Drosophila melanogaster: one gene and its partner. The protein of the gene in region 2 interacts with the protein of the main gene of each other region in a pairwise test. Each region holds a gene or a part of one and is shown on either strand. Other genes may lie near its edges.

The links. Proteins that work in one complex are often made in the same cells at the same time.
Region 1: the proteins of CG3529 (region 2) and CG9795 interact in a two-hybrid assay, tested with the Drosophila melanogaster proteins (one large-scale study listed by BioGRID).

The regions. Positions count from the first base shown.
Region 1 is NT_033777.3:4,317,549-4,325,902, reverse strand, and holds the start of CG9795 (uncharacterized protein), read right to left. Parts: upstream 6,221-8,354; 5' UTR 6,117-6,220; coding exon 6,013-6,116; intron 4,059-6,012; coding exon 3,856-4,058; intron 3,556-3,855; exon of another isoform or gene 3,408-3,555; intron 2,673-3,407; coding exon 2,281-2,672; intron 2,217-2,280; coding exon 2,014-2,216; intron 1,951-2,013; coding exon 1,739-1,950; intron 1,567-1,738; coding exon 1,393-1,566; intron 1,316-1,392; coding exon 1,231-1,315; intron 1,174-1,230; coding exon 1,092-1,173; intron 1,031-1,091; coding exon 414-1,030; coding exon of another isoform or gene 404-413; exon of another isoform or gene 207-403; coding exon 68-206; 3' UTR 1-67. Other genes in the region: Syt14 (synaptotagmin 14), read left to right, coding at 7,276-7,321, 7,394-7,555, 7,615-7,947, 8,014-8,249.
Region 2 is NT_037436.4:9,444,456-9,451,433, forward strand, and holds CG3529 (uncharacterized protein), read left to right. Parts: upstream 1-2,408; 5' UTR 2,409-2,540; coding exon 2,541-2,607; intron 2,608-3,932; coding exon 3,933-4,384; intron 4,385-4,445; coding exon 4,446-5,173; intron 5,174-5,233; coding exon 5,234-5,369; intron 5,370-5,562; coding exon 5,563-5,613; intron 5,614-5,776; coding exon 5,777-5,974; 3' UTR 5,975-6,330; downstream 6,331-6,978. Other genes in the region: Srg3 (Sting-regulated gene 3), read left to right, coding at 1,247-1,830; CG3448 (uncharacterized protein), read right to left, coding at 6,369-6,978.

The sequences.
Region 1 (8,354 bases), on a different chromosome or scaffold from region 2:
ATAAGTGAGTGACACGCATTTTGTGTTGGCGCAACCCTTTTGCTTTTGAGGCGGCTTATAGCTAAAACTATAAGTCCGTAATCGGAGCGTCCGCCACGCTGAATTTCGATGATAGCGTTATGTCCGCTGCAGTGCTTGATACGGTCGGGTTCCTCTTTGTCTTACCTCTCACCTGGTCACTTAGGTCTTCAACCAATTTCTCAAGGCTATAATGTTGCCCAGTATAAATAACCATTGAAAGATAAAAAGGAAGTGTACAATTTGTAAGTTTTAGGATTAGTTACCAAGCTCAGATAGTGATTAAAATGATTAGTAGAATGTGACTAAACGTATATTTAAAACGTCCATGCAAGTGAAAGTTAACGGTGATGGGTTAGTTTAAAAATGTAGAACAGAGCATATACTACACCCACGCAATTATACGTTGATTTGTCTCCTTACGTACGGAGGCCGCCTCGCTGCGCTCCCGCTTTAGATGAGCGTGGTCCTTCTTTCGTGGTAGCAATGGCGGTGGAATTCCCGGATTGATCTGGTCAGAAGCCAGCGCAAAAGAGGGAGGGCTTCTAACTGCTTGCTTTTCTGATTTAGGTATCTGTGAGTGAGGCGTTAAGTTGGAGGGAGATTGATGACCGATGTTCAAACACGATAAACTGTTGTTGCCAGTCAGGGATAATTCTTCTCCGTCCAGTCCTACTTGCTCTACTAACTGCTCCTCTTCTATTTCGTCGTCCTCTTCCAAAGAGTGTGTCGTTTGGATAGGCGTTTGATGCATTGTTCCATAATGAAGGTTTAAAGATTTTGCCCGTCGTATTCCGAGGGCACCGGAACCCACAACTCCGCCGCCACCCCCATTCGGAAATGGCTTTCGGAATCCATGGGATCGGTCATTTTCGTAAATAATGTCGTTACTGATTGGCCGCTGGTTATAACAACCGGCCAGAGCTTGACGAAGGCACTTGTTTTCGGATTCCAGATGTGAGAGGCGTTTGTTAGTCTCCTTTTTCTCCAGTCGCAACTGCATTACTTGGGTCTACAACCGAAATCGAATTTTTAGCTTTTAGCTTTTTATGCACATTTATTTTAGCACTCACCTTTAGATCGTCTATATCTCTCAGAATTCGGACATTTCCCTCGTTTAAGGAACACTGACGTTCTTCAACCATTAATTTTACTCTGAGAACAAAATGTAATCAACACTCTAAATATACTTTTTAATTTTCGACTTCTTACCGACTTAGCAGTGCATCTTCGCGTATGCGCGCTGCCTCCTTCACTTCCCGCACGACATCCGTCATCATTCCTGGAGTGTAGGCGCCTGAAAAATGGGAAGCGAATATAACTTATTACTCACTCCTTTGCATGGCATAGTTGGGGGTAGCGTTTATGTTATACCTGAGTGAAATGTGGGCGCTGGGCTGTGTGTCCCTCCCAATCCACTGCCAAGAATAAGAGGTTGACTTTGTGTGCTTAGCCCGCTTAAGCTATCTCTACGGTGCCGCATGCCCCCAAAGCCTACACCTGCCCAGTGCTGGCTATTAGGGGAGTGCTTTAAAGCTTCGATATCAACTATGATTGTGTTTGCAAGTGCAAGGGAGTACATAGAAAGAGGAAATGGGTGGCAACACATTCTAATTAGCATACGAGTACAAGTAAAATAAATCAGAGATTTGTGTAATTTTGTCGTAATTTGGGAAGCATCGTGACATCTAAACTGGACACAATCCTACAAACCACACACCTTTTGTATTATGCAAATTCCGGCAGATCTTGGAATTGGTGTCGTGCAATATGTTTATTTGTTCCATTAGAGCCGCGAAAAATTTGTTTTGATGTGCCAGATCACAGCCACTGCCATTGTTGTTCACATTTCGACACTCTGGTGTATTCTGGCCACTCAGCTTAGAGTCATTATCGGAGGGGTTCAGTAGGCACGGATCGCTGAACCGAAATCTGTTATCACACGGTAAGTACGGCTCTTTAATAATTCATTACGAATTTATTGTTTTTGCTTACCCCTTGGTAAAGTTGGGATTGCTTTCGCTGCCATCCAGCACATCCGTCGAATTCGGTTCCTGATCGCACCCAAGCCCTTCCGGCCCTCCCATCATGTTGTTCAGGGGAGGCAAGCTTGCAAACTCCTGGCCACCATCACCATAGCTGTTAAGGCTCTGGGGTGGGAAGAGCATCGGATATCGATGGCTAAGAGAGTTCGAATTCTGTAAAAATAAAATAAAGTTGGGTGTGCGTTGTACAAAATATCTTGCAATAGCAACTACTCACGCGCTGTATCCCCAGGCTAAACGGTGTGCCTGGACCCACTCCGTAAGGCTGGGTTCGCTTCGAAAATTCCTGTTGCCTCTGCTGCTGTAGTTGCTGTTTAAGCTGCGGCAGCTGCTGCTGTTGAGTCAAAAACATTTGCTTATGAGCTGGTGCTGTGGGCGGTATGAAGTCCAAAAACTCAGATGAAGAAGACAATTGGGCGTTGGTGGCATCACGTAAACAGCTCTCCAACCAGGCATCAAGGTGATCGTTGGAATAGTTAATATCGGTTCTCTTGACCTCACCGATGTTCGTTTGGTTAAGAGAGGTCGCCGCTGCTTCAGTTTTTTGGGCCAATGGGGAAGGTGGTACGTTACGCGACCTTAGTTTCTTGCGCTTGGTGGCATCCGTAGCTGAAGGAGAATTTAATTTGAGGTCATCTTGACAATTTCAATAGTGCAGGTCCTAGTGTGGACAGATTACGTAGCTAAAGGCTTCACGGCTTTCACTTCCAGCATTGACAAAGTGAAAACTATTACACGAATTCAACAATTCCGGACGTAACGCTCAACTCGGCGGCTAAACTAGAGTTGTCTAAGTTACTTTAGCCCAGAAAAACGTCTGGGGCAATTTGAAGCAATTTTAAGACTATTTTGGTTCGTTTTTCAATTGTTAAAACCAAACGGTTTTCTTTAAGTCAAGCAAATACTTGGTTTTTATAGATTGAGCAAACTCGATGCCCCTTTCGATAAACGGCCAGTAAGGAGAGCAAGGAAATTACTCAGAAATGCTTCTAAATGTTGAGGGATTGTCACCGAACCTTGAAAATATACATATTCTGGATTAGGATCACTAGCCGAGTCGATCTATCAATGTCCGTATGTCCGTCGAGGTCTCGGATACTATAAATTTCATAATAAGAAGCAAGCTTGTTTTGCAACTAACCAAAGCTGACACTCCCACCCCTAATTTGTTGTCATTTGACTGTATATATTGTTAATTTCTATTGATTAAAACTGCCACGCCCACACTATTGAACATTTTCAACTTTTTAATCAGATGTATGTATACTCATATACTTACTTAATATACATATGTACTTTATACTGTAATATTAATTTTAAACAAACAGTATATATTTTGCCCACCTTATATAATTCGGGAGTTAGGTAAATAGTTTCCGTTATTTCAATGATATATCTCGGACAAAGGCATCGTAACAAATAAAATTAAGTCGATTACTGACCGTGAAATCAGTCAGTTTGAATAGATTAAATCTTTTCGTAATTATAGTGGCTAAAAATAAAAGGAACCTTAAGATCAAAAAATGCAATATAACATGTTTATTATATCAAAATTAGTACAACACAGAAGAAACTTAGAGGTTTCTTAACTTTGCAGGGAATTATAAAAGGCGTAATGTACAAAATTAACCTAATTGATTTATTATTGTGTTTTGTATTTATTTAACATTTCACTCACTGATTTGGAATTTAATGTGAATTTTGAGTTTATAATACCAAGTTCTTTAAAATAGACTTTATAAACAACCTAGATTAACGGATATTCAATATTTCGGACGATGATCTCGCTCACCTCTCTGTGTACTGTTCAGACCCGCTCCAGTAGTGACCTTTTTCTGGGCACCGATCCCGCCGTTATTTCCTGGCGTTAAGCAAAAGCTGTTGCCAGCAATCAGCGACGTCACTTCTGCGGGGAAATCCAACCCACCGCCGTTTGTGCTTATCTCCCTCTGGCTGGAAGTTGTCGTTTCCTCCCGCAAAACGCTCATGTTGCTTCTGAAATAGAAAAAATACGGATAGTTAAGTATTGTTAAGCGAGGTTTTTCATTCGTGCGATTCCGCAGTGGACCATAAAAACTGGAAGCACACAGAAATTAACCCACGAAAGACTCGATGTTTGTACCTAGTGCACTTGGGGGAGACAATAAACAGAAGTGAAACAGCAAGAAAAATCCTCAAGTTACGTATGCAATCCCTGGAAACAGCCGTACGATTTCTCCAAACACTTGCACGACCACCGTCACAAACTGTGCTGTGGTTGCAGAATATACAATGTAAAAACATTTAAATGTATGCAGGCACAGACCAGTGGAATGGCACTTAATTGACGAACAATAAACATTTATTCACTTATTGATCTACAAATGAATTTAGACGAATTCACTAACAGATAATAGAATTTTCCAGCGGTAGCCCTAAATCAGCGTTTTGTGTCTATAAAATTGTCAATGAGGTTTAACAGTTTACAATACGATTGATAGTTCAACTAAAAAACCTATTTACCAGTTTTAAGCGTTGTTTCTATTAGTATGTAACATCTAGTAATACGTTCGGGATGAAAATAGGCGGTAGCTTGGATTCAAGATAATTGTATCTACTCCCACTTTAACTGACTAAGAACGACATTGGCAGTAAACTCTGGCCACCAAGATGAACGTCAGTCAAGTATAAAGAGAAAATAAACATTCGCCGCTTTTGGGTCAAGTTTTTTTTTGTTGGTGGGTGGTTGCCAGCAAATATACATACTGCAAGTGAAGACATACCAATAAGCATAAGGTATTTGGCAGCCAATTGAAGTGGCTGGTGCGTAATCTATGCAGTCGAGTTAACCGAAAATTAAGCCGCCAAACCAAACCGGTTTCACCGCTGTGTCTAATGACCTTTCCATTTAACAAATTTTAATGACACCAATAAAGAAAGGCTGCGTTGTCAATGGAGATGGTGACATGGCCCACAGCGACTCCTTCCCGCGATCAATGACTAAATGCACACGGCGACAAAGAGCTGGAAGAGCGAGTCGCTTGGTTTGTTGACCCAATCGAAGAGCACTATACATACATATGTACTTCGATTGCTTGAGCTATATTGTAGCAAATATTTAAACCCTGGCAAAAAATGTGAATTAGATATTGACTTGGCTGGCGATATTGATCAGGAATAGATATACTTGATATGGTCGCAAATATCTCCACCACTGCGTTAAAACCTTCTAACTGAAATTAATATACATTCTGCAAGGGTATGAAGAAATTAGGATTGACAGAAATGGAGTTGACTTGAAAGTTGAATACTAGCTTAAAAGCTCAAAAGACCGGGAAACGACATTGTAAGTTTTTGTAGAAATTCCAAGCATCTACAGCTGGGATTCCCACGCCATTGCTCACTGGTCCACTGCAAAAACTTGCTTACAATAGAATATTTTCTAGAAGCTCTGCGAGGATATTTTATATATTTGGAAGTACACATATATACCTAACGAAAAATGCCTTGGTTGTTAGATTCAAGGTTAGACAAACTTTTATTTTCATACAAAAGCGTTATATTATATGTATTTAGACTGCACTTTGCCAGATTCCAGTTCGGCTTCGTGCTGCTTTGTGTCGAAAAGTTTTGACACGCGCTCAACTCTGGTCTGGGCTCTTGGTACGGGAAATCGAGTTTTCAAATCCCTGTTCCACCCCCATCCCACCCTCTCGATTTTCATTGTGTGCGAGTGACTGCTGCGAAATGAAAAGCGAAACGACATAAGATGACGTCGTAGACTGGCTTTCTTCCTCCTGCTAGCTCCACCAGCAATAAAGAAACGAAGTAATCGACGCCAAGGAGGTGGTATCACGGTACCACCGCGGTATTCCGCTTTGTGGGGGGCACTGAGCACTATATTTAGCTGTTTAGCCATAATCATATTATCAGAAGCGTCTCAGCGGAATTTGGCACACACGGCACTCACACTTGCCCAGTGGCATTGGCCATCCAAAATTTACTTGCGTCACAATTGCGGATTAAATGTATTGGACTTTCAAGCACGGCGTGGGCGCGGTCACGGTTTTGCATACGGTGTTCTGACAGGCGGAAACATTCAGTTTGAGCAGCGACAAAAAATTAAGCGCACAACGGAACTGAGCCAATTCATTAGGCATTTATTTTAGAGGTGGGCAATCTGCGATGTGCCGTCAAAGCGATGACTTTCGCTGGAACAGCGATTGTTGCGATTATCGATACCTGCTGCTCGGAGTGTTATCTGCTATCGAATAACAGCGCATTTCATGTATGTAAGCATGAGTAGCTCTAAAAATTTTGACCTAAATTATAAGGCTCTTTTTTAAACAACCGGACAATTACCTGAATGGAGCATACAATGTGCATTAATTCTGATGCACTAATTCCGCTTTTCTTAATTATTTGGTTCAAATTTTTGAACATCAATAACAGGCAAACGGTCTTGGTCTTAACATTTTATGAAACCGTGGCTACGACTAACGTTTAAACCTTCGAATGCATACGACACGGAGAGAATTTTTATTCGAGACATTCTAAACAATTACAATTCAAGAAATCACAGCACAGCACAACCAATAAAAAAGAATCCCGTTTCTAAGTTTTCAGCTTAAATCATCCTCCCAAACACAAAAAAATAAGCAACAGTTGTTACTGCGATGCAACTGTCGAAACGGAGCTTTTCCGAGCCCTGTGTGTACACACACTGGGGGTGGAGGGATTAAGCTCCAAAGTGCTTGCTTTGAAGCAGTTTTTCCATCGAGTTTAAGGCAGCTCATCCTAATTCAGTTGAATTAAATCCTGAGCCGTTTGATTTTTATTTCTGAATCTCTCGTTGCATGATTCGCAGTTTTGGGATCGTGCCTTCAAGAAATCGAAAGTGATTAATAGGATAGAACAGTATAGTTGTTCCTTCTATAATTTGTTTTACGATTTTGCAACCAAATCTCAGATGAACGGTTCCGAAATACGGAAGGGCCAAAAAAACGGGTAATTCGGAGTACACCAGCTTCCAAACGACTTTTTTGCTTTGATCCCTAGTCGTTGTCTTGCGAAAAATCGATTCCAGTTATCCTGCGACGCTGTGCTGTCAAATTCCTGAGCTTTTGCTTTCACGCTGCAGTGAGAATAATTTTTAGTGACTTGACTTGTGGTCCGGGTGCAATGAGTTGCGAGTAGTAGACTCGTGTTCGCCAGGATCCTCGCATGAGCCAAGATGATTGTTACCTCCGCTTCTGGACTGGATAGCACTCCGACGCTCGGTACGTAAAAATGTATATGCACCCCACAAACCACACCATTCTGACCTGAGCCGTGACTGTTAAATCTTTCAGGCACCATCGAGGTGACCACTTTGCTGGGCGCCTTTTTCGGCGTCCTCGTTCTACTGCTCCTGTTGTTTCTTTTCATCAGTCGCAAGTGCTGTTTTCACTACCGCCATGCCATCAACTGCTGCGACGAGCGCCACCTTGCAGTCAAGTGTGTGCAGAAGATCAGTGAGTACCGTGTTTCGTGGGGATTGGGGCTGACTGGCTAACTTTTAAGTATCCCGCAGCCCGCAAAAGGCGTTACGAGAACACCAGCTCCGACTCGGAGGAAGACATCTTGAGGCGCCTGCGGTGGCATCAACAGCACCAACTGGGCGAGAAGCCTGGCGGATACGGGCTGGGAATCAGCCAGGCTAATCCGCTGACGGCGCAGAGCTTCAACTACCACCAAGCAGGCGCAAGTGCCGACCTGCAGCGTGTGACGGTGTCGCGTGACCCCTTAGCCATCGCCGAGCGTGGCAAGGTTGGAATCCCGTCATCGCACAGTGAGTGCAGCTCGAACGATTCCATGGAGGTCTCCGTGGACAGTCACACAGGCGTCCTGACGGGTCTGAGCAAAGGTAAGCAAGGCGGGGTCAGGGCCAGCTAATTGACAGCCGTTGCAATGAGTCACGACCTTTTGACAGCCACAACCACAGTTCCCCACCCGGCGACAGCCTTCCGCAATCCGTGTGGAGAACACCGGGCCAAGACCCAGGCACTGAGGTACCAGCACCGGGTCAACGTGGCTGCTCCGCCAAAGCTGGACAAGGAACGGGACAACGTGCTGGTGGTGCCCATGGTCAATGCCTACAGCATTAACAACAACAACAACTCGATAACAACCAGCAATAACCATCCCAGCAGCAACAACAACGATGACGTAAGTTTTACAACATAAGAGGTACTTTAAATACCTATTCCTTTAAAAGAAACTATGCCTAGAAAGGCATTCAACTTTCGGTCGGACTCGTAAAGTTTACCCAAC
Region 2 (6,978 bases):
ATCCCAGTACTCTTCCGCATGATCCATCATGCTCATAGCGAATAAATGACGCTTTTCAATATTGGCATCTGATAGCAAAGGGTTTTTCCTTGCAACTCTTGAAGAGTACCTATGGCGTAGGATGACTTGGCGCACAGTTTCGTGTGACACAGTTAGGTGACATTCTTGCCTGATATCCAGAGCAAGTGATCTGACCGAGATTCGGGGGTTCGCAATCACTATTCGCATAATAAAGCGGTCTACACGCTTTTTAATTTTAATTTTCCGCCCACCACCACTCTTAGGTTCAAGCCTGCCCTCTTTTTCCGAGCCTTTTAAAACATTGTAGACGGTCTTACGGGATACAGGAAACATTTATACTAATTCTGGAAAAGATTTTCCCAACTGGTGGTTATAGTTTATTAATTGGGTAACTTCAAAAGTTAATCTCTTTCCAGGCATTTTATTAAATTTAATAATTCGCTTTAAGCACGTTTGATCAGCAAAATTTCACAAGCAAAGTCAACAAATTTCAATAGAAGCGTTGTAAAAAGCAATGTAAAGCCAAAAATAACGGAAAAATCGAGTTCGTTCTAAGAAAAAGAACAAAACAAAGTAGGAAAACAAAATGTGTAAAGAGTTTCTTGACAGTCTCAAAAGTGTGTAAACTTGGAATTTGTTGTTTATTTTCTTGTATATTTAATATTTTTAATTTGTTTTTTGATTTATAAGTAAAATAAATATTGTTTAATTATATTTTATAAAAAAATTGCGTTTAATTAAGCAAAAAACCCTTTATTTTTAGCTTTAAAGTCAAAAATTCAACTTATTTCACAGTGTGTAAACAGTTTCTTGACAAACTGTATGTGTCGCAAAGAATTCCGGGGAAAAACACGTTTCTTCTCAGTTTATACCCTACGTGCGAGGCATATGATTTGTCCTATCAGCCTGTTGGAACCGCTAACTCATATATTCCTTAATCTAACCAAAAACAAATTTTGCGTCGTATTTGTGAATAATGCACCGATTGATTTGATTGATTGCTTTAAGAGCGGCAGAGAGCAAAGATTACAGATAATAGGATAATGACTATTATAGTCAGAACACAATATTCTGTAAGAATCATGCAACTTATAGTTAGATCTAAATGGGCTTAAGATTATGGGTCTTGGAACAGAGAAGTTTAGCCGACTAACCAAGTCGGGACTATCAAAATATAAGTCTCAAAGCCTCACTCACTAATATACCCTACGTTCTCTTCTTTCAGAGGACGAATCCTATGAACTGTCCTCGGAAATCTGGGCCGTCGACATGGAGATCACTGACAGCGAGACCGACGACGTGCCCGTCAGCAGGAGCGTTAGCGTCAGCGCGAACGTCAGCGGGAACGTCAGCGGGAACGTCAGCGGGAAAGTCAGCGGGAACGCTAGAGGAGCCTTCAGCGGGACCCTCAGCCAGACCGTCAGCGCTACCGTCAGCGGGACCGTCAGCGCGACCGTCATTGGATTGGTCATCAACGAGTTCGTTCCAATGCCATTCAGTGGGACTCTCAGCGGGATCCTCAGCGGAACCCTCAGCGGGACCGTCGAAGGGACCATCAGCCGGACCGTCGACGGGGCCGTCAGCACGACCGGCAGCGGAACCATCGAAGGGACCGTCAGCGGAACCGTCAAGGGGACCGTCCGTGGGGCTATCAACGGGACCATCAGCGGAACCATCAGTGGGACCGCCAGCGGTACCGTCAGAAGGACCGCTGACGGAAAGCTCATTTTTGAGACAGGTGCAAGGTTGAACAATCGAAAATTCATTATCCACGAAATCTGTGGAATGAATTGTGAAATAACTCTTTGAAATTACAAAGTTTTTGAGATACATAACACGCTCTGTGAACAACCATGACTATGAGGTACCCGTTACTCAGCTAGTCGGATTGCGAATAAAATGAGAAAAAATTAAAATTGTTTAAAGATGTGGGTGTGATTACAATCCAAAAGGTGCAAGGTGCAAGGTGAACAATAAAACTAAGAACAATCTAATGTGGGCGTTGGAGTGGTCATGGAAACATGGGTCAACAATCTTGGGCTGCGTCTATGTCTCTGGAATCTGCACGCTTAATCTAAACATTCTAGCTTAAATAGTTCCTGAGATCTCGACGTTCAAACGTACAGACAGGCGGACATCGCCAGATCGACTCGGCTACTGATCCTGATCAAGAATATATATACTTTATATGGTCTGCCTGTTACATACTTTTCAACGAATCTAATAAACCCTTTTACTCTACGAGTAACGGGTATAACTATGTCATTATCTCAAAAACTGTGGATAATTCTTTTAAATAAAATGAAATAAAATGCTGCAGCCCTGGAAAAAAACCTATTCCTATTTACCCACTTATTGTAATGCATTTCTTTGTGGGTATTTTTCGCTGAGGCCAGCCATGGTCACTCTGCTGTAGACAAGTGCATAAACATTTCATCCAGGTGAACAAAAAGTAAATAAAGAACAATTTTAACCGCACTGCAACCCAACGGCGAGCATTAATAAGAAACTTCTCCACGATGGCTTCATTTTTCAACGTTGGCGCCTTGGGAAATGTTTTCTCCACTCCAGTTGGCCAGCGCATAGGTGAGTAAACCACCCTCCCCCCTCCAGCGTAAAAAAAACACCCACCGGAAGCGGGGGTGTGTGTATATGTGGTTAAAGCGTAATATTTTCCACAAATACAACGCATATGCGTTGATATTTACGCATTTACATTGATAGTTATCTGATTAGAGGACGCTTCAAGGCAGTCCCAATCAGACTGGGCCATTGGAAAATTGAATTTTCACAACTTTCTTCGTGCGTTTGCTTGTTTTCTTGTTTTGTTGTTGGTCTCTCACACACACGCGCACATTTCCATGTAGCGATACTCATTTGTTGTTGCCAGACCATTACTATGGCAAAGCGGTCTGATTTGATTTGAAAGGCGGTGGCAACAACGGTGGGCCTCTGATAAGATTAACCCTTATATGAGTATGCGGTTCCAACAGGCAGGTGTGACAAATCAGATAAATGTTTGTTGGTATGCTTTATGAAATTGCTCACCTTTTGGCACGCACACAAAGAGTATTGTTATTGATGCGCTCTTTTATTGTTTGATTGCCTGTTTTCCCTTCACCCCCTCCTGGCGGCCACCTGTTTTGCGCCCTTAGTAATCGCAATTAGTCATCGTTGCCGCTGGCCGCTGGGTTACATAAAAAAATGTGTTAATTTATTTCGTGTTCCCCTTTGGCTCGCATTTTCGCCATAATTTCCATTTGCCGCTGCACACACAACAAACACAGATACACACATTTACGTGCAATCGTGCATATGTATTAGTGCCGTACTAATTTGTTGCTTCGCTTTTTTTATGAGCTCACATTTTGTTATTGTATTGCGGTTGGTTAGCTTTTCCCATATCTCCTATATCTGTTGGATATCAGTGTTACGATATCTGATATCTGAGAAATACACTTTGCGCAATGGTTTCGTTTTGGATTTAAACAAATTGCTTTGTGCATTTTTAATTCGAGCAAGTCATTGCACTTGGTAGATCCTAAATTATAAACGAAAGATAATGCTCGCCCACCTGTTAAAAAACACAGTTTCAGCCGCCCATAAAAACAAACAAAGGAATGCAAATTGTTTACTTGGGTTTTCACACAGAAAACGAAAAAAATAATTACATCTTTCGGATCAAAAACCGCACAATTTACTTGGAATTATAATTAAATATATTATTATAATTAAAATGTAACGAGCGTTTTCAGAAATAAGATACAAATTTAAAAAAAAAAAATAGGGATACCTTTTTTGTTTTTGTATTTATATTACATGAAATATTGTTGCAGTTTTTTTTTCTGGAAGAACGATAGATTTAAAAAGATCTTAAGGTGTCAACTAATACTTACCTTCTCACCTTTCAGAGGCCGCCACCGATGCCAACCTGGCCTCGGAGAACTGGGCCGCCAACATGGAGATCTGCGACATGATCAACGAATCCTCCGACACTGCACGCGATGCTATGCGTGCCATTCGCAAACGCCTCTCCCAGAACGCCGGCAAAAACAACCAGGTGGTGATGTACACGCTGACCGTCCTGGAGACATGCGTGAAGAACTGCGGCAAGGCCTTCCATGTCCTGGTGGCCCAGAAGGACTTCATCAACGAGCTGGTCAAGCTGATTGGGCCCAAGAACGATCCACCAGCCGCCATGCAGGAGAAGGTTCTCAGTCTGATACAAATCTGGGCGGATGCGTTTAAGAACCAACCGGATCTCAACGGCGTCACCCAGATGTACATGGAATTGAAAAACAAGGGCATCGAGTTTCCAGCCAACGATCTGGATGCCATGGCACCCATTTACACGCCACAGAGGGTGAGTCGCTGAGGAATCCTCTTTACTTTAACCATAATAAATGCTTTCATATGCCTTTTAGAGTGTTCCCGAGATGCCCCCTCAGCTGGTGGCCGCTCAGCAGCACACAATCTCGCCTCAACACATGGCTGCCGCTGCTGCCGCCGCAGCTGCAGCCGCAGCTCCACCCAGCACAGGTCCTTTGCATTTGACTCCCGAGCAAGCGGCTAAGCTGCGCTCCGAACTGGAGATCGTTAGCAACAATATGTCCATCCTCAGCGAGATGCTCAGTGTTCTGAAGCCCGGCCAGGAGTCGCCCGATGACTATGCCCTGCTCAATGAGCTCACCTCGACCTGCAAGGAGATGCAGTCTCGCATCGTGGATCTGATTGGACGTGTCCAGGACGACGAGCTCACCGCGGAGTTCCTGCGCATCAATGACGAGCTGAACAATGTGTTCTTGCGCCACCAGCGTTACGAGAAAAATCGTTCGCAGGGCCAGGGTGCTGGTGTTACCTCGCCCTCGGCTGTGCTGGGCGCAGCCATGGGCCTGCCCGGTGTGGGAGCAGCTGGAGCAGGAGCCACCACGGTGGCTACGCTACCACCTCCGCCCACAACTACCGCCGTGAGCAATACGCCGCAAAGTGACCAACTGCTGATCGATCTAATCGAAAGCAGCGAGGAAGCCCAACTGCCACAGAGTTTGGGACAGATCAGCCTGGGTGGTGGAGCACCCATTGGGGTGCAGAGGAGCGCACGACCTGCCGATGAATTCGATATGCTGGCACAGTCGCGCACCGATGGCAACCAGTCAGTAAAGAGTGCTTTCCAATCGAGCTCATCAAGTATTAACAATAATTCTTTTTTTAGTAAATCGGACTTGCTGCGGGACATTCCCTCGGTGGACGCTGCTGCTGGGAGTGTGACTGCCACCGCCTCGCCTTACAAACCAAATCAACCGCAGCAGGCACAGCGCTCAGCCGGCGAACCGCCGGTGGTAAGTAAAGTGAGTAACTAGCCGCCGGACAGCCGGTCTAACTAATGGCGTTCGATTTGTTCCCTTACCTTTTGACCTCGTTTTCGCCATTGATTTACACTATGTGTCTAAATTTGAAAATATGTTTTGGTTCTTTTTTGTTCTATGCAAATTGCGTTTGGTTTTCGTTTCGTTTTGTTGTTCGGTTGGCGCCCACACACAGTCGACGAAAGAGAATGAGATCGACGAGATGGAGGCGTGGTTGGGCAGCTCAGTAAGTAGCCATTCGAATAGCATTTTGTCTTTTTCTAAGCTCATCTTACCATGCACTCGGCTTCAGTTTCTCGATTTACATACTATTCCTTTGCTTCTTAGCTTCTGTCATCCATTTTCGAGTACTTAATATGACTAATGAGTCATTTGTTTCCACCACACAGCACATCGAGGGAATTGAGGAGCTGACCAGCTCGGAGTTTGACAAATTCCTAGAGGAGAGAGCCGCTGCCGCCGAGAATCTTCCAACGATCAGTGCATCGAACTCCGCCGCCAGTGCCACGACAGGATCGGCAGGAGCCGATAGCTTACGAAAGACACCAAAGAAACCGGGCGCCGAAGAGGATCTGCTCGCGCTCTGAGTGATCTCCGCCAGCACCATCATCGGCTCTAATTGTTTACTCTTTCAAATGTTATACACACCCTAACATACTTATCCGTAACGTCTATTTGATAGCAGATACATAGTAACACTTTATGTAAAATGCTTTTATTTTTTACAAAAACAGCAACGATAACTATTGATTATATTCCAAAAAAACAAGCGATCTTTTGTTGGTCTAATTGTAAGCCACGTCTACACATTGATGGTAATTTAATGTATTACGTTACAAGTCTATTTGTTGTTTATTTATACATACATTATAAAGCTAATTTATTTTACAAAATCGAAAAGAAAAACTAAAACAAAATGGAAATACATTTCAAGCACATACCGATTTCGTCTTTGTTTAAATATTTATATTACTAAGGGGCTTAATCTGAGTCGTTATCTATATTCATGACTTGAGTAGCTGCTCCGTAGGCATCGTCCTCGTCATCAGAAAAAATCCTTTGATTATTCTTTGCTCTTGATACTTTCCCGGATCGTTTTTCCAACTGACTCTCTAAATCCCGGATGTGGGCCTTTTTGCTGTTCAAAAGCAGCAGGAATTTCTTGAGAAGTTCCTCCTCCTTCAGCTTGCTGTCCCTCACATACTTTTCATATTCAGCCAGGGATGCGGTTGTCTGGGCGTCGGATTCGGTGGCTGGAGCTGCTTGTGGCTTCTGCTGACCAGCTTCGATGGCTGCATCCAGCATCTGGTAGCAGTTGGAGACTTTTCTAAGCGGAACATCCAAGTACAGCGTTTCGTATCCTTCGCATTTGTACACTTTGAACGCTGGTTTTTCGACATCTTCCATGGATATTTCATAATCAAATCCTTGGAGTCCCATGTGCGTAGTTACGGCACTTTTGCACTCCGCAAAGAAAGCATCGTAGGCCTGTTCCAATTCACTGGCTCCACTTCGAAACTCATCGTATTTTACAATTGACCGGTAGTTTTGATTGTCAGAAGTGGTCAGGATGTCAAACTCCACGTCGTCG